Linked DNA regions of Drosophila melanogaster. The protein of the gene in region 1 interacts with the protein of each later gene in a pairwise test. Each region holds a gene or a part of one and is shown in the gene's direction. Other genes may lie near its edges. The genes, in order: CG3598, ninaD, Pex3 and PIG-C.

The links.
Region 2: the proteins of CG3598 (region 1) and ninaD interact in a two-hybrid assay, tested with the Drosophila melanogaster proteins (one large-scale study listed by BioGRID).
Region 3: the proteins of CG3598 (region 1) and Pex3 interact in a two-hybrid assay, tested with the Drosophila melanogaster proteins (one large-scale study listed by BioGRID).
Region 4: the proteins of CG3598 (region 1) and PIG-C interact in a two-hybrid assay, tested with the Drosophila melanogaster proteins (one large-scale study listed by BioGRID).

The regions. Positions count from the first base shown.
Region 1 is NC_004354.4:2,933,432-2,940,527, forward strand, and holds CG3598 (uncharacterized protein), read left to right. Parts: upstream 1-3,595; 5' UTR 3,596-3,696; coding exon 3,697-4,515; 3' UTR 4,516-4,642; downstream 4,643-7,096. Other genes in the region: CG3592 (uncharacterized protein), read left to right, coding at 1,739-2,488; CG14420 (uncharacterized protein), read left to right, coding at 6,052-6,121, 6,224-7,035.
Region 2 is NT_033779.5:18,080,070-18,088,030, forward strand, and holds ninaD (neither inactivation nor afterpotential D), read left to right. Parts: upstream 1-1,558; 5' UTR 1,559-1,595; coding exon 1,596-1,724; intron 1,725-1,783; coding exon 1,784-2,086; intron 2,087-2,154; coding exon 2,155-2,966; coding exon of another isoform or gene 2,967-2,970; exon of another isoform or gene 2,971-3,027; intron 3,028-3,029; coding exon 3,030-3,120; intron 3,121-3,184; coding exon 3,185-3,391; 3' UTR 3,392-3,539; downstream 3,540-7,961. Other genes in the region: Arr1 (arrestin 1), read left to right, coding at 1-17, 78-125; CG31741 (uncharacterized protein), read left to right, coding at 4,199-4,627, 4,757-5,553, 5,774-5,867, 5,932-6,087.
Region 3 is NT_037436.4:15,140,585-15,149,005, forward strand, and holds Pex3 (peroxin 3), read left to right. Parts: upstream 1-3,770; 5' UTR 3,771-3,965; intron 3,966-4,084; 5' UTR 4,085-4,197; coding exon 4,198-5,355; 3' UTR 5,356-5,795; downstream 5,796-8,421. Other genes in the region: Pdi (protein disulfide isomerase), read right to left, coding at 1,716-1,869; CG32147 (uncharacterized protein), read right to left, coding at 2,665-3,126, 3,213-3,425.
Region 4 is NT_037436.4:3,315,156-3,322,389, reverse strand, and holds PIG-C (phosphatidylinositol glycan anchor biosynthesis class C), read left to right. Parts: upstream 1-3,157; 5' UTR 3,158-3,197; coding exon 3,198-3,698; intron 3,699-3,800; coding exon 3,801-4,160; coding exon of another isoform or gene 4,161-4,238; 3' UTR 4,239-4,362; downstream 4,363-7,234. Other genes in the region: CG12016 (uncharacterized protein), read right to left, coding at 674-1,645; Dpm2 (Dolichyl-phosphate mannosyltransferase subunit 2), read right to left, coding at 1,739-1,875, 2,485-2,593; Drsl5 (Drosomycin-like 5), read right to left, coding at 5,346-5,555; Drsl4 (Drosomycin-like 4), read right to left, coding at 6,538-6,753; Drsl3 (Drosomycin-like 3), read right to left, coding at 7,141-7,234.

The DNA.
Region 1 (7,096 bases):
ACTTTAGACCATTTGAATACGTAGTTTACACAAAATTAGTTGTGGCATTACAATTATTGCTAATTTAAAACTCTAAAAGTCGATAAAATCATATAAGTTTTGCTTAAAACAATGACAATTAAACACTCGAGTTTCTCTCGCCAGCACATTCGACTTTTGGTTAAGGTAAATAAAATATACACACAAATTATTTTCCAGCTTGAAGACCCCGGGCAACGTTTAACGAGTCAAGCGGAGCTGGAACCAACGATCCATACCAGATGGATGAGATGAGAAGCTGCCAACACATTTGGCTCGATTTTGGCCCCCAAGCCACAAGGCGGAAATTTGCATAATCATCCCGAAAAAAAAGAGCGGACACTATTAGGCCAACATGCGAGCACTTCAGCTGGCCAGTTGACAACATTATTCCAGCATTATTCAGGCAGGCGATCGTTAATTGTTTCCAACGACAATAGGCCGGGGTTAACGCTCAGGCAAGTGGCCAAAAAGCTGGCTAAAGAAGCTGGATGCTGCCAGGCAGAAAAGCCCGAAGAAAGATTCGTATTTTGGATTTGTATTCTTCAATTTAGGCGTGTGTGCAGATATTTGGTCATAAATTCCCCCCCGCCCCAGGCAAAGGTCAGCACCTGCCGAATCGGTTTTGGCCATATAATTAAAGCCTGAGAAGAGCCAAAGAACGGGCAATGAACTTTCAACTCAATTGGGCCCAGCCCATAATTCGGACTTAGGCCAATTTATTAGCCAGCTGCCGGAGTTGGACAAAAACTGAAAAACCAAAACTGGACAGCAGCTTTCTTTGTGCCGTTGCCTCGTTTGAATATGAATCTTTGAGGCCTGACCCCGTTGAACTTCTCCTGCGGCACATTCTTATGGAAATTAAGTTTGCGTTTCTTTTATTTTAGAAATTTTTCGCAGCAGTTTCCGCAGCCTGTTGCCAAGCGGATTTTACTGTGACTTCTTGAATGTCTTGAATAAAATAAGTTTGCATAAAATTGACCCAAGTGCTTGTGGATTTCATTTTTTTGGGGGGAGAAAATCGATTTCAAATTAGCGGATTTATGAAATATATTTAAGACCGTTTAGCGAATTTATATACAACATACATATATGCTAATTTTTGGATGACCCAATTTGGCCCAACAGTTAGTAAGAGTTAAAAATTGAAGACCACAAAAACAAAAATTAATTTATGCGTTCCCACAAACTTTGAAACCAATTTCCAGATCTAGATTAAAAAAAAAAAAACAGTTACTAAACTCTGTACTCTTCGAACTTGGAAAGTTAAAAGTCTTTTTTAGGCATTACAAAATGATCTAACATTTTGGAAATTATATTTCACTATGAATATTTATGAAATGAGATAATATCGGTATATATTAAAGGCACAGTTCCTAAATTGCTGGAGGGAATAAACTATTCTATTTTCTAAAAATACTTCTTTGATCTTTTTAAATTTTTGCCGATGAATTTCAACCTGTTGAAAATTAATAAAAAGCGAAATGAATAGAAATTTAAGAATATAGAATTGACTTTGGTAAATATATTCCAGTTTCCAGTGGGCAGCTATAAAAAATGGTTAAAGGACCGAGGCAAATATTGCATTTGAACACTCATATTATTATCCAAACTATTTGCAAATAATAATTAGTTTAAATTAGTCAGAATGGCCATGACTGCAATATCACTTTTATATCTAAAAGCTGTGAGGTAAAAAAAAAAAAACTCAAATCTGGAAATGAGTCAAGGGGAGAACGCAACCACTGCAAAATTGGTTTTCTATGAGTTCGCATGGCCACTTTTGGTAGCCGTTTTCGAGGTGAACCTCTACAGGATCATTCTGGAGCTTTTGGCCCACATCCTGCTGATCGTAATAACCGTGGTGATGGTCAAAAAGACCTCGGGTTTGGATGACCACAGCAGCGGCCAGCATGCCCTATACGCCATTTTGGGACTGTTTCTATGCGTGGGTGAATCTCTGTTGGTATGCCACTCCTGGTGGTTAGGAGACTTCATCTCCGAAAACCGGCTCAACCTTCTGCACATGGTATTGGGAATGGTGGGACTTTGGCTGGGACTGGTGGGGATATTCGCGAAGAGTATCTTCAAGAGCAAGATACATGAGCCGCACTTTAATTCCAAACATGGATTGTGTGGCCTTTTGGGATTCCTGCTTATCGCTGGGGCCGTGGCCAGTGGTTTCGCCCTGGTGTGCTTCACCCACCTGGCTCTGCACGTCATCCACCGATTGATGGGCTTGTGTGGCTTTGTGCTCCTCTCGTGCAGTCAGTGGTTCGCCCTCAATTTGGGATTCGCACGACGGGAGTGGAGTAGTTGGAAAATTAAAAGGCTCAGGATCTCCACGCTGGCCGCCACCATTTCAGTGGTTAGCTACGAGTTCCTCTGCCTCTGTAGAGACATTGTCCATTTGCTACCCAACAGCTGGTTCAAAGCCATCGGATTGAAAATTGATCACCTTCACAATTAAATTTTATGACCAAGCATTGTGAATAATTAAATTGAAGTGCTGAAGGCAATTGCAAAATGTTTATATTTTCTAAGCCCTACCATATAAAAAAGTAAATCACACAAAAATTACATTTATAGGAATTCTATTCAGCATGACAGCAAATATTTGGAAGATCAAGTGAAGTTTGTTAATCAATTTCGAAAGAAACATTAGCATACTTTCTGACTTTCAACTGAGAAATCCCTTGGAAAACAAAAACACTTTAATATCTATGCTTGCTATTTGGTCATATTGCAGTATGCCTAAGATTTTAAACAAGTTTCAACATTGTTTAATTAAGAAATAATAAATTCCGTGTCAAAAATTGTAGATTTATTGCACGACTAAAGAAAACAGTAAAATTACAGAGGGCTCGCATGTGAAATATTGGCCAACCTTCAGTCTTTCACCTGTACAATTGGCCATTTCCACGCATAAGAAGCCTCTTGGCTGGCATATTAATCACGGGACAAAGGCATAATTCCATCCCAACGTGGCTCGATCAATCAGCGATGCTGGAATACACATTTGCCCCCTATACCATACACCCCTTTCATCGATATTCACATTGGTCATTGGGTATATGACCGGTGGCCGGGGATGGGATACGACCACTTCGCATGCGTCGCTGACTCCGAGAGCAGGTCCATCATAGGTTCGGATCGGCCCTTGACTTCTCGGGTTTCTCGGTCTCTTGGGATGCCGAGATTTGTGCGTGTCTCTGATTGTTTTGTCATTAGCATGACCGCGGCGCTTTTTTTTTTTTTTGGGCCTTTGGTGTTTTTGGTGATCTTCGACTTTTTGATTCGGCGGCTGCTGATTTATTCAGCGCTCTTTCTTTTGTCCCACCGGCGGGTCACTGACATTCGTTTCTAATTCTATTTTTCACCATTTTCTACATTTCTTCCACAAAATTTCGCCACTTGAAATTATGCCGACATCGACCGCAATTATGACCAATGTTCTTGTGGCCTGAGTGGGCTCTCTCTTCTCGGTTTCTATGGGTTCTAGATTATGGATTCTGGATTTTTGGCCAGAACTTTTTCGCATAAAAACCTAATGCCGCCGCCACAGATCGTACAGTTCTGTTTGGGCCTTGCTTACAATTAGGATCCGGTCGGCAGTAAATCTTTAATTTCTGTGCACTTTACGTCGAGAAATCTTCAAAAAAAAAAAAAAAAAACAAGATGTCCAAGCTGGGTGCTATCTTGTTGGTGGGCTTGTGCCTGTTTGTGGCCGTGGCCTTGGCCGAGCCACGCCTTCAGCACGTTCAGGGGCGCAATCAGGTGCAGGGTCAAAGGGCGCAGCAGCATCCCTACCTCTTCCTGTCAATTCCCAAGGGTCGGGCCAACGCCGGCGCCGTCGTCCAGGGCTTCGAAATTGTCGAGGAGGAAGATGATGATCTACATGATGAGGACCAGCACGATGACGAGACGGAGGATGACGAGGAACTGGAGCATCAGCTGGGCCTGAACTTTGCCCGCAGCGGTCTGGCTTACAGGCAGAACCACGCTGATGACGAACAGGACGATGATCAGGATCAGGAGCAGGATCACGTTCAGGATGAGCTGCCCAAGAAGCAGATGATGGTTAACCGGGATCAGGCTGGTGCCATTATGGTGCCCGATGGCATTATCGAGATCGAGGGTCAGAGTGTTCTGGACGAGAAGACCGGCAAGGCGGCTCTCCTAGTGCCTCGTGCCGCCCTAGACGCCATTCCCGATGGCGCGGTGGTGGCTCTTATGGAGCGATCCGCCTCATCCGTTGATGAAATCGAGGAAGAGCGCGCCAACCGCGTGGTAGTTCGTCGCCGCAAGAACAACGGACGCAGGAACATTCGCCGCCGCGGCATCAACAACAACAATATCCGACGCCGCCGCCCCGCCCAAAGGCGTCGCCGAGTGGGTGGCAACCGCAGGCGCAATGTACGCGTCATTCGCCCCCAAGGCGGCAACCGTAGGCGTGGCAACCAGAGGCGCCGCGGACAGGTCGTATTCCAGGGTTGAGACACGAAACGAAGGTCGTCCTAGCCCCATTTCTATATAGTATTATAGTTAAGATCCCCTAACGATCAGGACAAGAAATTTGAGACACTTGATGACGATGCGACAAATAAAATGTGATATGAAAATTATAAATATTTTTTTTCGTATTTTTTATGGGTGGTGAAATTATGATGTGAAATTAACCAACATGCAAAGACTATGGTTTTGAATCATTAAGTTGAAACTTATTTTAAAGGTTTTGCCGTAAAACATCGTATACTACTTGTATAACTTTATTATTTATTTATCATATATGGTGTACCATTTCCTAGCAGTGTATAAGATACATAAGATTGCTTTGCCTCAAAATAGATCACTGCTTAGCTCCATTGATAGAAAAATTTGCATTTATCATGGAGTTTATTTGTATCATGGTTCAGCTTTATTCCAGTTTATCCTTTAACTTCGACACAACCTTAGTTATAAGTCACTTAATGCCCATAGGCTATCAAAAGTATGATATATGAATTAATAACTGCAAATTTTGTATGATAAAGGATCCGAAAATCAGATGGTACACACATATATACAAACAATGGTAGAGAAACTCATTTGAGAACATCTCTATAGAACTGTAAAAGTTTCGTAGTAAACTATTTTTGCTAATCGTTTGGCCAACAAAATAGGTACTACCGAAAAATAACCGTTTAGAGATAAAATTCATTTGATTGTCGTATATTGGAACCAAAGATACTTTTGGTCTTATCCAAATATATATATTAATCAAATGAAAGTTTTAAAAAGTCACGAAATAATTACACAATAACAGTATGTACAATACAAATGTTATATGGAAAATTAAAATATATATTTATTGAAATAATTTGATGTCGCATTCTGATTATATTTTGTCATTGTTTTTGGGAGAGCAAACATACAAAAATAGATAAGCACATATTTTGGAATCGTTGTCAAGAAAAGATTTGCCTCCGAACTATGCAATAAATCGCGAACCCTTTGTAAATTATAAATTTTGAGATTTCATTAAGTTTTGATTTTTTCGAAACGAATTTGGAGACTTCAGTTGAGTACTCCATTCTTTGGTGTGGAAATGCCGAGCACTGAGTGAGCTGAAGCAAGCAGAGAACTGACATCCCAGAACATCTGTGTAAGCCAGATTCCGTGGGTCAATCTCGGCTTGACGTCAATCAATCATCGGCTACTCGGCGATGGATAGAAGAATGGTTTTGGCAAAAGAGATGGGAAATTAGCATAAAATTCGTACGCCTCTGACCCGCGACCCGGTTCACTTTGACCCCGGGCGAACTTTTGCTAATAGAGCTGGCCAAGAAGTGGGAACTGAAAGGAAATGGGGATGCGGGGCGGATGATAGCCATCGATCAGCTGTATGAGCTCCAAGTGGGTATAAAATCCCGGGTCAGTCCATCAGTTGTCAGTCAGTTGTGAGTGAAAACTCAAAGACAACAAGTGAGTTAGGAACCCTCGATCCACAGTCAAGGAAGCCGATTATCCCGATAAGGAGAATCCATCTGCAGAATGCATTGCCTGCTTCAACTGAGTCTGGCTGTGGCCCTTTGCGCCCTCTTAGCCCCATCCACTACCTTGGGTGAGTCCTCAAATATTAACAGAAAGTCGTCAGTCAAGTCACAACTACTTTCTTTATATGTTCCTTAAATATTTCGTATAATTTTAAAATATTTTATCTCAGCCGAACGCCGCAATGTGTACCGCCTGGGTGGACGCGCCTCCGACGCTCAGATGGAGGCCCGCTTCACCTCGTCGATTGCCAACAAGCTGACATCTCTGAAGGGCACCACCACGACGACCACGGTTGCCCCCACTACCACCACCACGCCCACCTCCACTACGGAGACGACCACGCCGACTGCACCAACAACGTCCACTGGCACCTCGACGAGCACCACGACGCCCACAACCTCCGACACCACCACCGGTCGTGCCTTCCCCGCAATTCAAGACGATGTTGAGGAAGATGATGAGGAGATGCCCAGGGCGTTTGAAGATGAAGAAGACGAAGGTGATGACAGCCTGGAGGACGAAGATGATGACGACGATGAGGAGAGCTACTTTGTGGCCGCTCCTTCCGCCGGTGGCAATAGCAATGCCGTGCAGCAGTCCTCAGAGTCCGGCTCGTTGGTCCGCCCCTCGGAACTCCAGTGGCGCCAGTTCCAGCAGGAACAGCGCAACCGTCGCCGAATCCAGCGCCTCCAGCGTGAGCACAACCAGCGGATCAGGTCCCTGCTTCGCCGCCAGAGGGCCGCCGAGAAGCGAAGCCAGCAACGCTTGCGCCGCCAGCGCCAACAGAGCCGTAAGCGCGTCTCACAGCGCCAGCGCCGCAACAGGAACCGTTCCAAGGCCCAGCGCCAGCGCCAGAGGAGGAACAACATGAACCGTCGTCGCCGCCAGCAGCAGCAACGCCAGCGCAGACACCGCCAGCAGCAGCGCCGCCGGCTCGTGCGCCTCATGCGCCGTCGTCGTCGTGGCGGACGTCGCAACTAAGGAGTTGATCCCAGATCCCCAACCGATCCCAGAACCCCCGAAATAAACTGAACTTGTATGC
Region 2 (7,961 bases), on another chromosome or scaffold:
TTCTGATGCACCCGAAGGTAATAAAAGGTGTGCCCAAATATTTGAATAGTTATTGAAAGGCAATCAATTATTTACAGCCAAGTCGCAAGGCCCAACTGGAAGCCGAGGGCTCCATTGAGGCCTAAACTGAAAGGGCTACCTCAACCAACGAAAAAAATGGCGTATTTCTACAAGTCAAACCGATTTTTGTAGATCCTAAAAAATGCTGATGTTGCTGAAATGTTCTGAACTGCAGTCGTCGTACTTTTCCTATATAGCAAATCCAATATCCATATATTGTATGTGTGTATGTGTATTATATTTATAACTCAACTAACAATTAAATATGAACAGAGTTTATGTATGTATTTTGGAGTATTCTATTGAATTTAGCACGGTGTATTTGAAAAGGCTCCAGCATTGAAAGTTTGTATGGAATGCGCACTAAATATTTAATAATGTGCTTACGAAGGCATTTCGTAGTATTTGATATCTTGCAATGTCTGCTGATTATGTACATTGAAGTGCAATGGGGAAATCAACAGAAGCCAGTGCAATCTATTCAATTACTAATAGTGGGTCTTGCATTTGTGGCTTAGTAATTCCAATTATTGCTACTCTGAAAAGCCGAGGAGCAGCCTAATTAATACTTGGCCACTATGCTGGAGGAAGTTTACTGAACTGAATTCGAGTAAGGAAAATGGACAATAATTGATATAATATGGTGAGCTTCTTGCTGGACTTTGAAATCGTAAAATTTAAGCGAACACACTTCAAACGCATCCATTTAATTTGTGAATGTTTGCAGTCCCACTTTTAATAAGCACCCAATATTAACGATAACGCCACTCTAATCAAAATTTTCCAATAGTCAGGGTTGAAATACTGATCAATCACGCTGCCAACATTTCGGCAGACCAGGTGGGTAATGAGTTTAAAATGGTTTTGCGTAATGGGATTAATCGAATTTCATTAAGGAAGATTAGATTGCCGTCTTTGGAAGTGATCTTTTATAGTGGCTGACCATAAAAATTGCATTGCAAATACTAATTTAAGCATACATGCTATATAACCGATAAGATGGGCGAGCGTCAAGGCAAAAATAGTTGACCGTATTAATAGTTTAATCAACTAGCTTCAAGTTAATTTATAATGCGAATTAGGAAGCACTCTGGCATGCTATTAAAAACTTAAGAACTGATAAACGAAACTTAATTCCTAAAATAAAAATGTACCTAATTACTTTTATATACTATTATAAATAAAATTGTACCATGTATCGTTAAATTTGATTTAGTTACCAAGTGGTATTTGGTACGTGGCAGCATGAAATAGCTACTACTGCTAGTCTGGCTGATTAGCCAGCACTCTCAATAAACTAAGTGCAGCGTTTTGCATTTATCAGGATTTTTGGTACTCTAAACACACACTTAGATCCCAATCACCCCACAGAATAAGTTGAGCAAACCAAACCGAGCTGATTACCACAGTAGACATGATGATTAGCCGCTGCTTTATTTACTAGTGGATAATCTACTAAGCGACGCATGAATAAAAACTCGAGCGATATTTTTCCACTTTGCAGTCGCTCGAAAGCCTTTGTTTCGTCTCTCAATATGTGCTGCAGCTGCTGTGGGGTGACCCAACAAAAGGCCTGGGTCTTCGGCCTGGGAACCTTTTTCGCGGTCTCCGGACTCCTGGCCATAATATGCTGGCCTGGCTTTATAGACTCAGGGATTATGAAGGTGAGAGGCGGTGTATAAAAATAAAATTAAGGAGGAGTACTAATCGATTTATTAAAAAGGCCTTGCCGTTGACACCCACTTCAAAGACTTTTGAAAAATGGGAGGAGCTGCCCATTCCGGTGTATGTCTACATGTATCTTTGGAACTGGACAAATGCCGCAGATGTGCAGGCTAATGGAGTAAAACCTATTTTCGCGCAACTTGGACCCTATGTTTATCGAGAGGAGAGGAAGAAGATGGATCTTGAGTGGCACGACAATGGCACAGTTACCTTTAACCCCAGAAGAACTTGGTTCTGGGAAGAGGAGCTCTCTGGCGGCAAGCAAACGGATTTAATTACCGCCCCACATTTACCTTCATTGGTAGGAAATAAGCAGTTATTAAAAAACAATTTGGTCTAAAAGAAGTTTTCCTTTTTCACTTTTTGCAGGCTGCTTCAAACCAAATGCGGAATAGCAACGTCTTCCTGAAATTCATGTTCAACGAGGCCCTAAATGCGAATGGTGGACATCTCTTTGTGACCCACACGGCAGCTGAATGGCTGTTCGAAAGTTTCTACGACGAATTTTTGCATTACGCCATGACCCTGAATAATCCATTGGTCCCAAAAATCGAGTCGGATCACTTTGCCTGGTTCCTCAACCGTAACGGATCGAAGGACTTCGAGGGTCCCTTCACTGTACACACCGGAGTGGGTGACATCAAGGAGATGGGTGAAATTAAGTATTGGAAGGGCCAGAATCACACGGGATGGTACGATGGAGAATGTGGACGTCTCAATGGCAGCACCACGGATCTTTTTGTGCCCGATGAGCCCAAGGAGAAGGCTTTGACCATCTTCATTCCGGATACTTGTCGGATCATAAATCTTGAGTTCACCGGACAGAGCGAAACAATTCAGGGCATCACGGGTTGGAAGTACGAGATAACGCCGAATACCTTCGACAATGGACAGATCAATGGTAACGCGAAGTGCTGGTGTCCTTTGGAGCGCCAGCCAGATAATTGTCCTGCAACCGGAGCCACTGACCTAGGACCGTGTGCCGATGGAGTTCCCATGTACCTTTCTGCGGATCATTTTATGTACGCGGACGAAAGTTATGGCAGCACGATAAGCGGCTACAATCCGAATTACGATCAAAATAACTTTTATATCATCATGGAGCGCAAGATGGGAGTGCCGTTGAAGGTCAATGCCAATGTGATGATTACCTTGTACATAGAGCCAGACAGCGTTATAGAGTAATTATTTACAATAATTGTTGCCTACCATATATATGACTTGATAAACACATTTTTTCCTAGCATACTGAAGGGCCTGCCCAGCTTCTATGCACCACTTTTTACCACTGCTAGTCGAGCGGAAATCGACGAAGCCCTCGCCTCAGAACTTAGGGTATGTTTTAGAGCTTGTTGAACTACGTTGATTTCTATTTTAAATAATGCATTTTGTCTTTTAGTTGGCACTGAATCTACCGGCTATAGGGAGATATACTGGAGTGGGATTCCTGTGCCTGGGCTGCATTCTTATAGCAGTTGGCATCTTACTTACCATTAAGAGGAAGTGGTATGGCCAGGCCGAGTTGGACAAACTGGCTCTCAAGGATAACGAGGAAACTCCATATGAACCGGAAGTTCCGGCCAACGTGGTCGAACGAAACTTTTAATTTAGTATTAACATTTTTTTTAATGAGCAGCACACGGATGTGATTCAAAAAACATATATGTGATAAATAACTCTAAACATTTTTTATTCTAGCTTTAAAATATAAAACTTCTAAACAACTGAAAAAATTAATAAAATTTAAAAAACTCATATAACTATTGTCTTCATTTTACAATAATTAAATTAGTTAAAGCTTATATTTATCTATGTGGTTTTTTAAATGATTGAGTGAATGAATTTATAGAAGCTTGTACACAAATTTAAATAGGCTCTTTAAATAAAGGTTTTATTTTAGAACATTTTTTAATTGTTTTTAAAATTAAAATTCAAACATCATCTGTGTGTCTTTTTTAGTTTATAATTAATTCATATACACAAAAGAAAAAGAAAATTAAATAAAATCATTAAAATTAAGATTTAAAAAACTCAACAAATTTGTATAATAGTTATGTGATTCCTATACCTATTTAAACGATTTCGTATCTCAGTTGTATTTTCTTTTTTACAGTGCATCTAATGATTTATCTAATGAGTGAAACGAAATATAATCACAAAACTTCGTATAACATTTAACTCAGGCCGTAAAACAAGCCACTTGAAAAAGCTTTCGGAGATTAGCCTATCAGAAGCGTTCCAAGTGGAGAATTCAAAACAAATATAAAAATAAAAAAATCACCTGTTAATTTGCTCTTGAAATCTAATCTTGCATTCCCATTATTGAACATCAATGTATCCCAAAAGTGGGCTCGCTTATAAATATCCCCGTTTAAATTGCTTGACGTACCAGTATCGAAATCGATCGGAGGCGATGCGTTGTGGTTGCTGCAGTGTGCGCCAGCAAAAGATCTGGGTCTTCTCCATGGGAGGCCTGATCCTGGCAATTGGGATTTTTCTGGCCTCAGCCTGGCCAGCCGTATCTCGGCAATGGATTCGAAGTCTTTTGCCCCTGGCTCCCAACTCTTTTATCTACAATCGCTGGGTGACTACGCCCACGCCGGTATATAGCACAGTTTTCCTCTTCAACTGGACTAATCCGGGGGATTTGAACACCGAGGGCGTTAAGCCGCACTTTGAGCAGCTGGGGCCTTACACTTTCAGTGACTTTAAGGTCAAGGAAGATTTGGAATGGAATCAGCCCCAGGTGACCTACTTCGGCAAACGTACCTGGCATTTTCTACCGGAAAAGTCAAATGGATCGCTTGATGATGTAGTTATAGCCCCACACTTTCCTACTTTGGTAAGTCTGATTAAAGGTTGAGTGCTATGCTATTTGACGGCAAAACTTACATTAAGAATACCGAATATCTCTGTCCGAATATCTGTCGCCACATCCAGTAATCCCCTCTAATCCCGCTATACGCTTTAGACAGCTGCTTTGTACTCGCGCCGATTGCGCCGCATCCTGCGCAAGGTCATGAACTTTACTCTCAATCGCGAAGGCGGCGCCACCCATATGACCCACACAGCTGGCCAGTGGCTCTTTGATGGCTATTATGACCATCTGCTTGACTTCGTGGAGCAGCTGCATTCGCCCCTGCTCCCGGTTTACGACAACACCTTTGGCTGGTTCTACGAGAGGAATAACTCAAAGACGGCCGAGGGAAACTTTACACTGCACACTGGCCGTGGGGATCTCAGCCAGTTGGGAGATCTGCTCCTGTGGAATGGAGAGAACACCACCGGCTTTTATCCCGGCGAATGCGGCAAGGTCAATGGCAGCACGGGGGAACTCTGGTCGCCGTACAGGACGTGGGATCAGCCCACCACCATATTCCTACCAGATGCAGCGCGGTACTTGAACTTGTTTCCAAAGGAAAATCTCACCATAGACGGCATTGATGTCTGGCGATACGAGTCCACCAATCTCACCATCGATAATGGCCAGCTGTCGCCGGACACTGAGTGCTTTTGCCTCAAGAATCGCGAGTGCCCGCGCAACGGAGTCCTGGATTACGGTCCTCCCGCCTTCAATGGCCCGTTCTACATGTCGCATCCGCACTTCTTCCTCACAGATCAAATGTACAGGGAAAACACCACTGGCCTGCAGCCCGAGGAATCCGAGCACGGCATGTATGTGATAATGGAGCCCACTCTCGGCATTCCATTGAGCTTGAGGGGGCAGCTTATGATTAGCACGAAAGTGGTGCGCGACGAGGCCATTGAGTGAGTTTTTTATTTGACGCTGCCCAGTCTCCAAAACCATTTGTTCAAGAAAAGTACGATTAACACAGACTAATTTACACAGGAACGTAAAATCGTCCTTCTTGTACCTGTGAAATTGTCACTATTAACATAGATAGTATCAGCTTAAAGACAAAGAAAATATTAATATCAATGTAGGGTCAAGATCTAAACCAAAAACTTGTTTTTTCTCCTTATCCAGCTTGTTCAAGAACGTGGCCTATGATCATTATGCACCCCTATTTACAATGAGATTGCATGCGGAATTAGACGAAGGGCTCACAAAACTATTGAAGGTAGGATGGAAAGCATGGAAAATATCTACATATGAATAACAAAATGTAATACCTTATTTAATAGCTTGCCCTAAATGCTGCGATTATTGGAATGTATACAGGAATTGGCTTAGTTCTTTTGGGAATGTCAATAGTCGTAACTGGAATATTCATCACAAAAAAACACAAATGGCACAGCGAACAAAGGCCCGACAAACATTTGCAATGCACTCAAAACTGATAAGACTGTTTAGGCTAACAAAGCCATAATCTCGCTAATCAATGGGAATATTTGGGCATTGTTTAAGGCCATAATCAGTCAGGGCTCTTTAAGGCCCGGCCATAAAAAATGCAAATTACGTGCTTGGCTGGATTATCCAATTTCCCTCAGGTGTTGCCCAGCTGCAGGCATCTAGAATTACACTAAATTATGGCCTTTCAAATATGCTAAAATTTATTAATATGTTAATAATTGTTTTTTGCTGCTCGTTCATGCTATGCTAAGAAGGCGGGAAGGGAGAAATCCTTGAGCACGTAAGCTGCATACTTTATGGCGTACGAACTCTTTCACCAGGCAGAGCCGGCAAATACCGAACTGGAAATTTGAAAAATGCCAAAAGAATATTATAAGCGACTAATTTATATGCACCAAGCACGCAAACTTACGTTTTGCACACACATTGTTCGTGGCCCACGAAAAGGGCGAAGGAACAAGTTAAACAATGTATGAAAATATGAAAATTATATGACTGCCAGTATGTGTCGGCCATAACTTTAGCAAAATCTCTGTCGGGCCAAGAAAACTGGGGTAATAAAGTAAGTACTTTAATAAGAATGTTTTATTTGTAATATAAAAACCAATATAAATAATTGCAAAGTGTTTATTTCTTAAATCTTATCATATAAATCAAATTACTTAAGATCATTCCAGTGAATTATCCTTACAATTTTTCAAATTATTTTGCTATTGGGCCCAAGTGAGAATTTCCTTTTTAACGAAACCCATGCTATTTTATTCATAGTAATAAAACATTCTTGAATTCTTGATCATTTTAATTTGAAAATGTGTTGACAAATTGACAGAGGTTAAATGAAAGGATTGCATAGCATTTTTACTAAAATTTAGAGCACATGTGGCTTATCATTTTTCTGCTCGGCTTCAACTTGTACCATTTTATTAGATTATCTGTTTTTAGTTTGATTTACATCTGAGCCTGTGAAATTTATTGTTTATTTACGCAAATGTGAAACTTCCTCCCAATAAAGCTACATTCTTCGTAAGACACATTTTCTTTTGACACTAAACGCTTTGCAGTAGCCATTTTGTGGTAGTAATTCGATTTAAATTCAGTAAAATTCTCTAGCCACTGTTATTTTAAAGATTAAACATGGACTTATTCCAGTTAGGTTGTTCTATGCTTGGTCAAGAAACCACAGCAATGTGCAATTGTGCGTGGAATTTTTAATGAAATATTTAAGCAACACCCAAAAGCGACAGAGGACCCAAAATAACACAAAAAGAGGCAGTCTGTCAGCTGTAGAGCTGAAAATTGTGAACAGAAACAAGAACATTTAATTTTGGAAATTGCTTGTCAAGGTGCGAAGACTAGCTGACATTTTAATACCTTTTTAATGTGTATGATACCCAGTTATAAATATTCTTTCGGAATTATATTCTTGAGGGACGTCATGTTCTAATTGTTAGCAGCAATAATCAAATAAATATTTTACTTTGAAGATAAATTAACACAAAATGCACTTTTATGTATAATATACAAACATTTTATAAAATAGTTGTGCAGCGACTTCGGTATCAAGAAATCAAAACACCTGACTCACCTGTGTTTACCATAACCTGCGGTTTTTTCTCTAGGCATAACAAGCAACAGATCGCGTCAGTGACCGACTTCATTATTTTGGCTAAATCCGAAAAACCAAAAAAAAAGAGCTTGAATGGCATGAAGGGCATGTGATGGGATGGGATGTTGCCATTGTGGCCTGCCGTCCGTTTATGTCGCGAAAACTTCGGTGTCCTAATCGGCTGCCTGACTTGCATACTAATTTGTTTGCTCCTCCCGTTCCACCCACTTTGGGTGCCCCTCTCGTCCGGCGACC
Region 3 (8,421 bases), on another chromosome or scaffold:
GAACATCTTTGCATTCTCTACAGAAGATAAGAGCCCAGCCTTGGAGGAGCAGACCATTACCGACCTGGGTGACGTTGTCACCAACTCCCAAAAAAAAAAAAAAATTAAGGTGCAAAATGTGAAAAAGTTAATTAAGCAAACACCGAGAGAAACGCTGGCATAAACAAACTCACAAGTCCGCCATATTGCTGGCAACCAAAGATGCCAGGCTAGCATTTCTGGCGGTTTAACGCCGAATGGGGGACTTTTTAGTATCTCTGATTTACGTTTATCTCTTGCTAGATAACAAGATTGATTTTTTCGAGTTGTCATTAGAAGAACATAAAACTTCATTGAAGAATAGTGGGGCGGCTTACCTAAGGATTTCGTTATTAAAAAAAAAACATAACTTACAGTTACAAAGTATTTAAAAACTGTTGTCTTATCTAACTCGTCAATGTTGAGAAACGGCTTGGAAATACATGAACAAATAACAAATTAAGTTTAAGGTTTGTGTAATTAGTTTTTCAGCGTGTTCACTGTCTATTCCTAAGCTGTATATATTATATATAAAAATGTTATACAAATAACCGTTACGAATATTTTGCAGGCCGTTTGTAGGCTTTTAACACATGCAATAGACAATTTTGCTCATAATATAAAACAAAAATTTTCTAAAGGTCAGATCTCTTTTCAAATGAACATTTTAAATCATTTTACAGCAGTATATAATTACACCTCTTTCCCAGTTCTGGCTATTTTCTAGCTAATTACCATGCACACTAATCTGTTGCTCGTGCCGAGCATCACTGGCGACGCAACACCGTTAGGCACGCGCAAAGACGCAGAGAAAGAGTTGAATGAACTTTCCAATGTATGGCCGTTGCGCCGCCGTGGAAAAAGGGACAGAAACCAGATTGTAAGTGAGAATTAGAACCAAAAAATCCAAACAGAACGAACCAGAGAAAGCAAATGGCGAATAAAAAGTGGTTTGGTTTGCTCAGGCTAACCTAGATTCGTGGGAGGAGAAGAGATGAGTTGCCCGACAACTTTTTGTTGCCTTTTGTTTCCATTAGATATTCTCAGTCGGAGATTATTGAAGCGGATGTGTGATATGCTGTGGCCACGCCCCACGGGCGCAGTGTTAGAACAATAACTAGAAATGTCGATAAAACGCAAAGCATATGCTGCGCACAACTTATTGTTTCCTTTGGCATTTAGTATTTGCAAGAATACAAAATTATAGCAGGTTTATGGCGACAACAATAACAAGTAGTACTGCAGTATAAGGCTATAAGGCCTTCTCGCTTGCGTGCACAGGTGCGGAAAAGAGATGGCACTTGCGTTTGAGAGAGCGCGCTCCTCCCTGCCCGTCACAAAAAAAACACAAGATGACGCGAGAGAGATAAAAACAGTTAAACAAACGATAAATTTGCTGGAAAATCAACTAAACAAATTTTCCAGGCCGCCGATTGGAACTAGTCTGTCAGTTGGCCCATTGATCAACTAGGATTTGCCGTGCAACATGATAGTCCAGATTTCAAGTCAACAACAACTGCCACGCAGACAGATTTTCTCCGACGCTTTGAAAGACCACGTAGCCGCTAAGCCGCATGAATCAGCGGGTGCGAGTGAGAGCGCGCTAGCGGCCGGCGCATTTCGCATTTTGATATTCGATTTTTGCCACATTTTGTTGAGATTTTCGTGCCTTATTTTCGATCTAAGCATGTACTTACAGAACTCGACCAGCACGAACTCGTTGTCGGCAATCAGCTGCTTGAAGTTGTCCACCGTCGCCACCAGAACACCCTCCTCAACTTTGACCTCCGCCTCGGCGGAAGCGGCCACGTAGGACGCCGCCAAGAAAAGTGCACAGATCAGGAATTTCATTGCGGGCACTCGTCGTCGTTTGATATTTATTGAATCTATTGCCCTATGTGGGTGCAGCACACTCGCCAACCAAAACTGGGATTCGAACTGCGCTGAACTTGCCCGGTTGCAAGTAGAAATTCAAATGAATTCAAGTGACAGTGAAACGCAGAGATATATACATATAAAGCTGAATTAGGTGAGGGATTTTTGGTATTTCTCTACAAGTTTCCGATAAATTTTACTAATATCGATATTTGTCAATGAATGAGCATTGAACTGTAGGTGGCGCTTGGGTGCCCAAAGGTTGGCAATCGTCGAAGGTAAATTTTTTTAGTTTAGGATCTCGTTTATATATTTGAAGTTTTATTTTTATATTTAACTAATTCAGTAATGTACTATTTTTTTTTTAAATATTACGGTTTTTTCGAATACCATAATTTTAAAATATTGTGATATAAATAGTATCGTATTGTATTGTATATAAGTTAACTTGTATTTAACATAAGGCAATTTGTAAAGGCCTTATAATTCTTCTTTTTAATTCATTTTTTTTATTAAATTTTATTTTAAATAACTTACGTCATTCTCTTTATGTCATTTACCCTTTTTAAAATAAAGACTGGTGTTGTGTAAACGCAAAAAAGACTGTGTAATTATTAATGCAGTTGTATTGCTTCTCTGTTTCATTGTAATAAAAAGTAAATATAAAATATTGTATCTTAAAAAGAATAAAACTCATTTCTTAAACAACTTAACAGCACACATGTAAATAATTCTTAAAAAGACAGATATTGGAAGAATATTTTGCGGAATTCAGGAGTCAAAAGCGACCACCTGTTGAATGCATTGTTCGACTATGCTAAAAAGTATTTCCGAAGTCTTAACACTACTAAATGGCCTATCTACAGGAGGTACATGGACAAACAGGCTTCGTTTTCTGTCCATATCGAGCGATTTCAGATAGATATAGCCGCAGAGAAAGTCACCCACATTTTTGGATGCCTTTGTGGCGCTCAGGGATTTGAGATTATCATTATGTGTCGGCTGTTGTGTGGGTCCCACACAATCGGCGCAATTCTCATTTACAACCGCCACAATCTTATCCACATCTAATTCGGTCTTCAAGACATTTGCATGTCCATTGTTGGGTAGTTCGCAAGTGCCGTTGGCCAGTTTTTTATCACAATTATCAGCTCGGCGGAACTTGTGATTGTACGCCAGCTTCTCGATGTATACACACTTGGCAACGCCCGAAACACCGACATGGATAACAAGCTGTTTTTTTTTTGTTTTTTATTTTTTTGGGAGAAAGATGATATCATAAGGCCTCTATCTATTTATGGTTCAATTGCGATGCTTACATATGGCTGGCGTTTCCAAATCTCCGCCACCGCCTCGTCCACAGCCCCGTATTCCACCGAAACCAACCGCTTTTCCAGATCATATTCTATGCCATCGTGAGTTAGGATTTCCGGCAGCAGTTTCACAGCTTCCCAGCTGGCGTTGACCGCTTCGTGACCGAGAAATGGACCAAATCCGGAGACTACAATGAGCTTTCGATCTGACGACGCCATAACAAACACCCCAACTAAACTAAACCCCCCACCAACAACAGAACTATCTTAAATACCATATGATTTCTATCTTCTTCTTCACCCTTTGAATCATGCGTTTCAAATGTTTGCGACGATGGCGGAACGGTGGAAATTGGAGCATATCGAAGTTTTTTATTTTTCGTCATTTATAGGTGAATTAACATTATTTTATATTTTCTATTTTTTTTTGAACCCACTTCGAAATAACGAAAAAATAAATAACTAAAAAGCATCCCCATTTTCAATAAAAATTTAAACAGTAACACCAAATATACTAAACGAAATGGTATTTTTCGGTATTCCCGAACCTCGCACTTTTGGGATTTTTCTTGAACGGAAACAGACGACGCAGTATGCGGCACCAAACAGAGAAATAACACATTTAGCGACAACAACAAAGGATAAATCCATTCCATACATTCCAGAGCTAGATCCGATCCAAAGGCCAGCAATCGACCCGATAAGGCGGCGCACCAGATCCGAGTTTCCGAGCAGGGGTATATAGGTGAGCACTACCTGGTAATCTAATCGCTGCGGATGAGTGGAGGACGCTCCTCTGTTGGCAGCGACGCCGGCAGCGCACCACCCTACGCACACAGGTGAACTTTGCACATTAACTATTTATTAACCTCGAACAGGTCGCCGGTGGAGCGGGAAAAAGTGGGATATCTGAACAGCAGTTGGCCTATTTCACACAGGAAGCGGATTCTAGTTGTCCATCCGGCAGAAGAGGCCTTTTCCAATCGTTAACATGCTGTCGCGCCTGCAGGACTTCTTGTCACGCCACCGGCGAAAGTTCATAGTGACCGGCGTTCTGGTGGGCGGTACCATCTTTGCGGCACGTTATGCACAACGGCGATTCGTGGAGTTCCAGGAGAAACAGGCCAGGGAATTCTTCGAGAGAACGCGGCGCACGACCCACTTTGAGTCGACGGAGAAGACGTGTAACCAGGTGATCCTAGGCATGGGCGAGGAGATGTGCCAAGCGGTTCTGAGGGAGTGCAGCACGGACGAGCTGCTCGAGCAGCTGCGCCAGAATCCCAAGAACAAGTTGGAACTTTGGGAGGACATGAAAATTGTGGCATTCACAAGACTGGCAACCTATGTCTACGCCTCCTCCATGCTGGTTATTGCGTTGAGGGTCCAGCTAAATCTTCTCGGTGGCTACATCTATCGGGACATCATGACGGAACAAAAACAAGTCACCGACGAGCTAAAGCAGCAGTATCTCTCCCTCATCCGACACTTTATCACGGATTCGGGCATCCGGGACTTAGCCCGTTACATTCGCACCCAGGTCATCGCAGTCACCAAGACCATACCGCTCTCCGAACAGCTTTCCCTTAGCGACCTGGAGCAACTGTTTTGGTCACTGCAAATGGCCATCAATGCGGACACTCGTCGGGATCCCAACTCGCGAATGAGCAAGTATCTGCTGCCCAGCCAGAATCCCAGTCATTCGCCGCTGCTGCAAAAGATGGTCAACGAGACGCTGGATCTGTTGGAGAGCGAGGATGCCGTTGGCGTGTGCTCGCACAATGTAAGCCGTGGTTTTGTGCTGGCCTGCGATGCCATCGCCGAAAGCATGGGCGAAACTTTGCAGCATCTGCCACAAGCTAAAGTCCAAACGCAGCAAGAACAGAGCGTCAAGTTTAACCAGGCAGGAAGCTTAGGCGCCAGCACCTCGAAGAGCCAAAACGGTCTGGAGAACAATAACTTGCTGAACATCAACCGAGTGCTGTTGGCGTTGGCAAAGCTCATTCCTATCATCAGTGGTCTCACCTCGAGAGGCTTCGATACCACTTCGCGACCCCACAATCTGCCCACCCAACTGCTAACCTTCTACGTGGTCGCCGAGAAGACAAAGACGCTGGGGGCCAACGTCTACGAAAGCTTTAGCTCCGCTTAGAGGATCAACAAAACTTGGATTATGCATCCGTGCATAGGCTAGGCTAAGACAATTGGAAAATTATAGTTTATATACTTGTATATTTTTAATAAGATCTGTATTCTCAGAAGCATTGTTTGTATGTCTGCTTGAACCCAACCCGTATTAGGTTTAGCTTCGTCCACGGGGAATCCTTTCAGGGCAGGGACACAAATCGAGTAACGTGAAGGCCTTTTAATCTAAATGGAAAGTTAGGAAATGCAACATATGAGAGAATCATATAGGATGGACCTGAGGGTAGTTTAGTATCCAAACTATATGAAAATGTAATTTAAAGTGTAATTGATTAATAGAATGATAAGTGACAGATTATTTATTTATACCATGCTAGAAAGCTTGGGTCTTAATCTTAAAGGAAGTGTAAACAAATGGCAACCTAATAAACTATGCATTCCCCGTATTTAAAGACTATTATTTTGCATATTAAAGTTTTTGAAGGAACTTATTCTTTTTATTCTTACAGCTAATTAAAACAGATATTGATTTATAGAATGATAAATTATACATGCGTACATAGGTGCATACTTGTATTGAATTAATAAGAAATAAATTCAATAATTATGTCGGAGATATACGAGATTCTTATATACTTTTTCCTCCAAGTTTCTAACAGTTTGCGGTTTTAAATGTACATAATATATTAATTTAGTAACGGAGCAACGGTTATCTGATAATCGGGGAACTCGACTATAGCATTCTCTCTTGTTATAAATGCTTAATATGTATAAAAATATAAGAATTGAATTATCGAAGACACAACCCACAAGTAACGGTTGTCTTTGCTATCAGTCAAAAGGGGGTGGCAGAAAACCGCCCTGTGATAAGACAGCTGTGTCTGTGGCTTTTGTTTGTTTGCCATTTCTCTTGTTCTTGCCGCTCTCTCCCTTGTTCACTCTCTTCAAGCACTTGCGCAGAAATGCCGCATGTGCGAAGATTCATTATAATATAACAATTATGAATAACTATCAAGCAGAAAGTAACTTAAAAGATTTCATAAATTGAACCAAGTTTATGCTTAAGGAGGTGAAAGTAATTAGATACATTTACATCACGCTCGCCCCTCTGCGACTTGTTCGCTCTCGCAGGACTCTCTCTTCACATCCGTCTCTCTTACTCCTTCGGGTGCCCAGCTGTCTGGTACAAAATTTCCATTTTGGGCGCAGTTGCAAAAGTTACGTGAAAAGGCAAAGGACAACAGTTACTTTTATACATCCCTGCGAGACTTTGCGTATGTGTTGGTGTAAAAAAAATAATTAAATATACAAAAATGAAAGAAATGCATTGAATAACTGATTCGAAGCCAAGTTAAAACCGAGTGTGCAAATATGAGAAATACTGCAAAAAGTACACAAATTGGAAAAGCCAGCTAAAGGAGGAAAGCCCACCGTCAAACAAACAAACAACAACAACGGCGGCTCAATTGTGTAAGTGCACTTGCAAAATGTTTATTAACCAGTCGATGGGGCTAAAAGCCCACTTAGCCCATCAACTTTTTACTAGCCGACCACAAAATATATTGATTAAGACAAAGAGAAAACTGAACATGAAAATCAAAAGGCCACATGAGCACATGTGAGCGAAAAAGACAGACACAGCGGTATATTGGTAACGGGACAGACAGTGCGTGCGTACAGTGGTGTGGGAGGGGGCTGCAAAGGCGGTGGTGTGGGGGAAAGGCAGTAACGGCAGTAACGGGAATACCACTCTTATAAGGTCTAAAAATATCAACACTTTATTATTAGCAGGGCCACAAGTGAGCAAACTAACTAATTGCGAAGAAACAATCAAATACTACTCAAAGGCAGCTCCTCGAAACGAGTGCTCAAGAAATAATGGTAAGGCACTACAAAGTACCCTTAAAAAAGTCATGACAGTATCGAATTTGGTATAGGCTTTAAATCTAAAAAATTTAATTAAATGAAATCAAAGGATCAAAAAGCTTTTTCAAAATCTTAAGGATCAAATAAAAGTTTTCCAACTGGCATAGGTTTTAATAAAGGTTAAAAGTATATATGCACATCTAATAAAATTAAAAAAGGTTCGAAAACGAATTACAATTTTTCTTATTTTTTATTTCTTGACAAATTTAATTGGCTTTCTTAATCCAATCACTTATGTCTATCCATCTTGAAAAATCAGAAAATACGCTATTCGTCGAAAAATGTTGAACAAATGCAGAAAGCATTAATAAGATTGGAAAAATTTTAAAGAAATAACCAATTTATATATATGTATGTATATATATTTCGGATTCAAACAAATATTGGGTATATCAAAGCATAGTACAGCAAATCATAACATGTCCTTCAACAAAGAGTATTAACTTGTAGCCAAGAAAGTCAAGTGCGTCAGCGTGAAGATAACAAAGAAATGACATTTTCCCCAGCCAAAGTCCGTGTGGGAAATTCGAGGAAAACAATGCATGCAAGTCAGGCAACCCCTGCACCCATCACCTTTTTACCACATTCCTCCCCTTTAGGGTGCTTGGGGTCCTATATTGCACAGTATATATAGGCATATTGACATACTAAGGGCGTAGATCAAGTGCCATGTGACAAGGGGCCACAGCACCTAACTAAATATAAACACATAAATTAAGGAAGCGAAAGCAGGACACGACTCAAGCTAAAGAAAAGTGCGTCATGGGTTTTCCGTGGAAGGCAATTACTTGGCATACAAAGGACGTTTTTTAGAATTCAGGTAAATTGGTTAGTTAGGAGCCTTAGATTGCATGGAATGAAATTATGAAATTGAAATGGTGTATACTCTAGAGCAGTTTTAATATTATTATTAGTCAATTTTATTGAGCAATAAATATATTTTAAATATTATTATTATCTGTGATCAAATAAAATATTATTCAATTAGCGGGAGGTACCAGAAAAAATCAACACATTACTATATTTACTAATTCGCAGTATTTGCATTTCCCATGAACTCAACTGATAAGAAGCATAGAGTGAAATATCGAATAGTGGAAAAGCCGGGGAAAATGGTTTAGTTTACAGCGAACCGTTTATGCATAAG
Region 4 (7,234 bases), on another chromosome or scaffold:
TAAATATACACTACGGTATTTACAAGGTGCATATATAAATATCCATTATATAGTACAATAACTTTTCGACTCCATAAAAACGCCCCACACCAAATGCCTCGTTGGGGTTTTTCTAAATTCCATGACGTAATAGTAAACAATACAATATAATAGTTAGCACAGCTAAATATGAATTCCTGAACCGAGTTTCTTCATTTCACAATCTGGTTACAAGAGCATTCTCCACAAGAGAGACCATGTCACCCATAATAACTATCTTAATACGAAATAAAGACTAACTAATAATAGTTGTATTCTAGGGCGGGTCGATTTGTTTCGATTGTTCCGTAAAAAGAAGCTAGAAACTGTAAGCAAATTGGTCGTGGAAGTTGTAGGTTGGGCAATCAAACAATCAAAATATTCTCTAAACAATACTGCACTTTTCTTTGGACTTTGCGGTGCTTAACATTTGCTCAAGTTCCAAAAACTCACATTTTTAATTTGAATTAAATAATTGATTTTAGATCATACTTTTAACAATTTAAAATCGAACCACCCTTAGAGTAGCTTACAACTATAACGTAATATGGGAATTTTAGCCACGATTCGGAGAAGTAATCCAAACAATTTTGAACCGTTTAACATCCTACTACTATACAATATTCAATTATTGTACTCTGAATCCAAGGACAAACTATTGCTCCATGGGACACGCCGACGGCATGACGTTGTTATTGCTCGGACCCATGTAGAGCATACCGAACCGTTTCTGCTGCGGCGGGCAGACGACGGGAGCAGGAGCTGGAACCTCGCAGCGCTCCTTGAAGTAGTGGACGATGCGATGAAGGACGAACGCGAGGATCTTCTCTTTGGCGATCTCGCCATTGAGGAATGTAATGTCCTTGCAGTCGCGGTACTCGCTGAAGTTCTTTTCGTAGTGCGGCCACACACAGAGCTCGAAGTAGCCCGTGACATCGGGTGGATCGTATGTGCGCTTACTGCGCCGTTCGAAGCACTTCTCATATGGCAGATGGAAGTGGTACTTAATGTTGCACAGGGCCAGCAGCTCCGGCTGGTTGAAGATCATGAATCCCTCGACCAGGAGGAAATTGACCTTCTTGTCCCTCAGCTGGGCGGCAATCTGCGCATTGATGCTCATAATGTGCTGCTGCTGCTGCTGGATTTGATGGTGCTGGTGGTGGTGCTGCTGGTGATGGGGGTGATGTCTCGGGTGCTGCTGTGGCGGATATTGATAGACCCCGCCATTGGCCTGTTTGTAGTAGTTCGCATTGTACTGGTACTGCTGCTGGAACTGCTGGGCGTAGTGCTCGAAGTTGGCATACGTCACAAGGTGCTCCTGTGGCTCGGGAGCCACATGGCGCCCCTTGATTATGTGCGCTATGTCGTTCAGCATCTTGGCCATGTCCAGCGAGGTGATGAGCTCGAAGTTGATGGCGTTGAGCGCCTCATTTCGCTGATGTCGCTTGTCCTCCACGGGCAGAAAGTAGTCATCCTGCGAGATCAGACGCACCTCGCCAATGGTGTACGGCGAGTTCCACAGCGGCGCTCCTCTCAGACCCTTGAAGTAGTCGTGCAGGCTGTGGGCTAGCGTAGTTTTGCCACCACAGGTGACTCCCGAGATACCAATGACCAGCCACTGCGGCATCTTGTCCACGACTGACTATCGCTCTTCCTTGTTTTTCAGTGGAATCGTACGTTCGCGTTCGCACCGAGCAAGATAACCCCCCGGATAACCCCCTTAATCACGTTTCACTCTCAGGCTCCAGATGTGGTAAAAGGAGAACGCGGCGATGCCGCCGAGGAAGATCACCCCGAACACGGTGGGCACAATGAAAGCGTACTTCAGCGGTGGAAAGAACAGCCGAATGGGATTGCCTGTAAAAGTTTGTAAAGTATACTCATGTTCACAAGTGTTTCATTTGATAACAGGCCAGGAAAGAAAATACGTAAGTATATTGTTTTTATGATTACTCTTAATAGCAACAAATTAAAATTGTCACGGAACGGCAAAACTACGATCATGAAATATTTACGTATAAAGTGAAGAGCCAATATCCAGGCGGAAAAACTACCGAAAATAATTAGCTAAGTACACACCCAGATTTGGAACCACATAATACAGTGGTACCACTGGTTAAGCACGTTTTCGTTTTTATCGCTGATTGTACATGCCTAGACTCTACAATAGCTAACTAGTTTGACTGTGCACATATCGGGCGAATACTGTACTCCTATCATCACTAGTCGTCGGTGACCTTGACCCGAGCTTAGAGCATCGTACAGCCGCATTCCAGGTAACCCGTGTTAGGGTGGTCACCTCTGTAAAACACACGGGTTCATCCTCGTACACTGCCAACTATATATAATTGAACATCGTGACCAATTTACGCCGCGGCGTCACTTTAATTACTATACAAAAGCGCGAGATTATTCAATAAAACTTATGTATTAGCGGGTGAATAACGGAAGCCGTGGAAAACTCACCTTCATCGATGAGCATAAACGGGAGGACGGCCACCCAAAAGAAGTAATAGAAGAACACGGCGATTGCAGATATCAAAATGATTTTCCCGAGTTGCGCATTCGAAGCCATAAATAGCTATTCTCGGAAATTCTGGGGTTTCTCTGGCGAGAGAACACGCGACCGGCGATTTGTTTGTAAAACTGCTCATGGGGCGTTCTCCCCGGACGGACTGCTTCACTGTCCACTGATCGTTTACCCGCCGCACGAATCCCTAATGTTTTTTCGTAGCTGCCGATTTACTTTCGTGGCGTAATTGTAAACAAAACAAACAAGTGCGTCAAAAAATTTCCGAATTCAAGGTAGTGGTGGTTCAACCACTCGAACAAGTATCGATAGCTCGAGTAACTGTTTTGCGCAACACCAGCGGATGTTCTTATCGATGTAGGCGAGTCACTTCTGCTTGGGGATAATTTTCAGAATAAGATTTGTATATTATTAGCTTGCTGTAAAACCCCTTGTTTAGATAATGAACAGTTTATTAATATTTCAAATTAAACTATCATCATCGATATTTCAAGTGAAACATGCATCACTATGACAGTGTGACCAGCACTTACTTTCAATACTTTTCAGTGGATAAAACAATATCGATATGTCGATAGTAACTGATACTATCGAACGCTGATAACCCAGCACTAATAGAATTGTAAACAAACAATTTTTAAATTTAAGAATGGTAAAAAATGGGCAATCGAAACGGCAGCCATGGGTGAAGAACCTGTACTCCAACCGGGAATATCCGGACAACTACACGGATGCCAGCTTTCTGAAGGATCTGCGCACGAATCTACATTGTAGAATATACACGTTCGGCGAAGCAATTGCCGGTATTACAGTGCTTAATAATCAGATCTCCTGCATCACCGGCTTCCTAATACTCTACCAACTTATGCTCAGCGACAGCGTGTCGCCCACCACGATCCTGGTACCCAGTTGCGGGATCACAGGCATTGGATACCTGTGCTACCGAGGAAGGAGTCTCAGCTGGGCCCTGCTGGGCGAGGATTCCAAAACCCTGGTCACAGTGGTCCTCTTCGGCTACTTATTCTCACCGATGCTGCACACCCTAACGCAGGCCATCAGCACGGACACCATATACACAATGACCTTCTTTGTCCTTCTGGGCAACCTGATATTTGGACACTATGGATTGGATGTAGCCATGGTCTCTAAGGTAGGCAATATTTACGGCTATTGGTGTTGATTGTATATTGATCTTGACTCCACCTCAGAATCCTATATAATACAAATACTTCTTGTTCCATGTTAAGCGCAGGCCGTCTCGTTGAATGCCGCCATATTTGGAGCAATTTGCTTAGCCTCCCGCCTGCCGACTTCGTATCACGCCTTCGTGCTCCTTGTCGAGGCTGCCGTCTTTTTCGTCCTTTATCCCATAATGACGGAAGCGAATTGGCATGCTGGATTCATGTTGCCTATATTTGCAATATGCTGTATGGCGCTGTACTGTATATCGCGCCCGGTGCTCTATCTCTACGCCTCCACCACCATTTTCATCAACTTTGTCTGCCCGTTCATATTCGTGTGGCAGCAGCAGTACAAGTTCAACATTCACGGGCCCTGGGACGAGGCCATCGTGGAGGAGAACACCGAGGAGAACCTGGATGGGAACTTATAGCGCCAGCTGCGCTTCTCAGAACAGTTGCCGCCACGACTGGGTAGCGGCGACGTCGAGGAGCACTTCACTGATCGCTAAACCATTGCACGCTTATTTTTATAACTTTGTAAACTCATTCCAAGCCATTGATGTTAATCTTTTGTATCATGTTATATCTGTTAGTTTGTAAGTAGCGTTTTAATAAATTATACTTTTTGTGTTTAAAACCATAGCACTTTTAAATTTGTGTAATTTTTAGGGGACTTTCTTTTGGTCCTATGAATGGCTTTTTAAATAAATTGTTATCAACTTAAGGCAAAGGTTTTTCAATTGAAAGATAATGGAGTTAAATTAACAGGGTGAGTTTTTTGGCTTGGTTGTGTTTTACTCAGACTAAAAATAAATTTAGTTAAAGATTATTTATCGTCAGCGACTAAAACCCGTTTCGTAGATAACAATTAAACATTCGCATGAGCATACATTGAATATATTTGACCCTATCTAACGCAAATAAATTGAAGCAATTGCTTTAATAATAGACTATGGAATATGGATGAGTGACATCTGTATTAAGTGCACGCCCTTGGGTTTCCCAGAAGTTCCTAGTCTAACCAGAGATTTAATTATTTTAGTATTCTGCGTTTTACCTATCTATGTAATGCATGCTGTCCTGCAAGCTACTTCCACAGTTTCAGTAAGCATTCTTGAGAGATAAATAATCCAGATTACATCATATAGTATCGCTGTACGCAGCGCTCTATTTTCTGCAATTATTCATCCTATAAATAGAATAACTTAAGCAGTATTTGAAGCATGTTACAATCTGAATAAAAACAAATTATTTTAAAATATCGTTAAATTTTCAATACTTCACAGACTAAGTCAGAGAATTAAGGTGTTAGCTAGTTTTAATTGAGAATATATTTATATGTACTTATTCATATATTTTGTAATGAATAAGAATAGAAGAAAACCTTTTCGAGTACGTCATCAGTTAATATTAACATTTTTAAGGAACAATCCTTATCCGTCCTTTGTACGTACATTTAAATACCTTAGTATCACATAGTTAGTATCACAGTTGAACCAGTACGAAATAATCATTTGCGTTGCAATAATATATTTAATATTTATTTATAGTTATCAACAAACTATAACATTTAGTAGTTTTCCGGCAATTTAGAGCAACGCGCCTTGAAGGATGGCCTAGCATCCCTCGCACCAGCACTTCAGACTGGGACTGCAGTGGCCACTGGATCGTCCTTCCTCCTTGCACACCCGACGACAGGTCTCGTTGTCCCAGACGGCGCAGGGTCCTCCGTATCTTCCAGAGAGACAGTCGGCATCGGCTTCCTTGGCGCCCAGGATGAAGATGGTCATCACAGCCAGGAAGAGGTACAGGAACTTGATCTGCATGTTGTCGGTTTTGAATCAGAGTGCTGCTGTCGGAACAATTCGAACTTGATTTATGAGTCCAAACCCCCAGCAACCGCTTTATATAGGGATCGGGATCTCTCTGCCAGCTTCGTCGTATTTCTGGAATTGATTGGCAGATAATTGGAGATAATTATTGAATTGTATTTCATGGAAGGGCATACTTTAGGGCTGATAAGACAACGAAAACTGACTTCAAAAAGTATTCTCTTTCGAGATAATGATCATTACGGTAAGTGTCTAAGAAAAGTCGCATGAAATTTCGTTTTCTTTTTAAAAAGTTTCACTGCCATCTTCTCAGTTAGCAGTTGAGTAAGAATGCGTAGTTTTTCTAATGGAAAATTAAAAATGGCTTATTAATAATCTGCCGACATTGATTTTATGCAATGTGCCATTTATCACGAGACTTCTAGGAAACTAATTAAACCAGTTTCATTAATTAAATTTATTCATAAATTGTAAAACTGTCGAGTTTGTTAGGAAAACCCAGAACCGGATTCAAACACCAAACTTGCACTTTTCGATGTAACACGGTTGATAATTTGTTGGAAATATTAACATGACAAGATTATCTTTATTTCCCATAAAGTGATATGGGTGCTGGTAAATGAAGATTTGTGTTCATAAATGAAAATGGCCTTTCCAACTCTTGTTAAGACTGAAATAGTCTATGCTTTTTTTTTCTTAAATGCTTATTATGAGTTGAATTATATATTCCACTTCTTTCTAAATGAATTTTAGCTTTCTATTGAAGTTAACTCTGATTATTTATCATTTAATTATTTCTTCCATTCCATTATAAATCTCATTTTCGAAGTAAATTTATGATTTTAAAAGGATTCGTTCTTTAAGTAGAAATAAAACTGTATTATTTGCTGTGAAGTATATTCTTTATTTTTCTTTTCAAAACAATAAAAAACATATGACACACATATGTGTCAAACATATTGGACGATGAGGATCCTCAGCATTGTTCGCACCAGCACTTCAGACTGGCACTGCAGTGTCCACTGACACGTCCTTCCTCCCTGCAGAGGCGACGGCACTGCTCTCCATCCCAGGCCCAGCAAGGACCACTGAATCTTCCAGATGGGCAATCCACGGCCGAAGCCGAGTTGGCCACCATTAGGACAATGGTCACCACAGCGAGGAGAGCAAACAATCCTTTAATTTGAGCCATTATTAGAATGTTCTTCTGGTTAAAATCTTTACTTTTGAGTTTCTTGAGTCCGACTGCACTCTTATATAGGTACAGAATTTGTATATTAACCGATTAGCATAAAGGTGAAAATGCAAATAACTGCAATATAACTTTCGAAAGGCATACTTTTGGGCCTTTTACGCGACAAAACGCGCATCGCTATTTTGGGATGATAGAATTGCTATACCTTCTTGATGTTGATGCACCTTTTTGTTTAATATACTTACCACATACATATTAAATCAAATCAAGAGATAACTCCTGAAAGGCAATGCTTACGTGCCTTTTACTGTGCGGTGTACAGTATATTTATTATTGGCTCAGAATAAACAAAAAAACAGCATGCACTTTTGAACTGCAGTGGATCTAGCATCCTTCGCACCAGCACTTCATTGCGCCACTGCAGTGTCCACTGACATGTCCCTCCTCAATGCAGAGACGGCGGCACTTTTCTCCACTC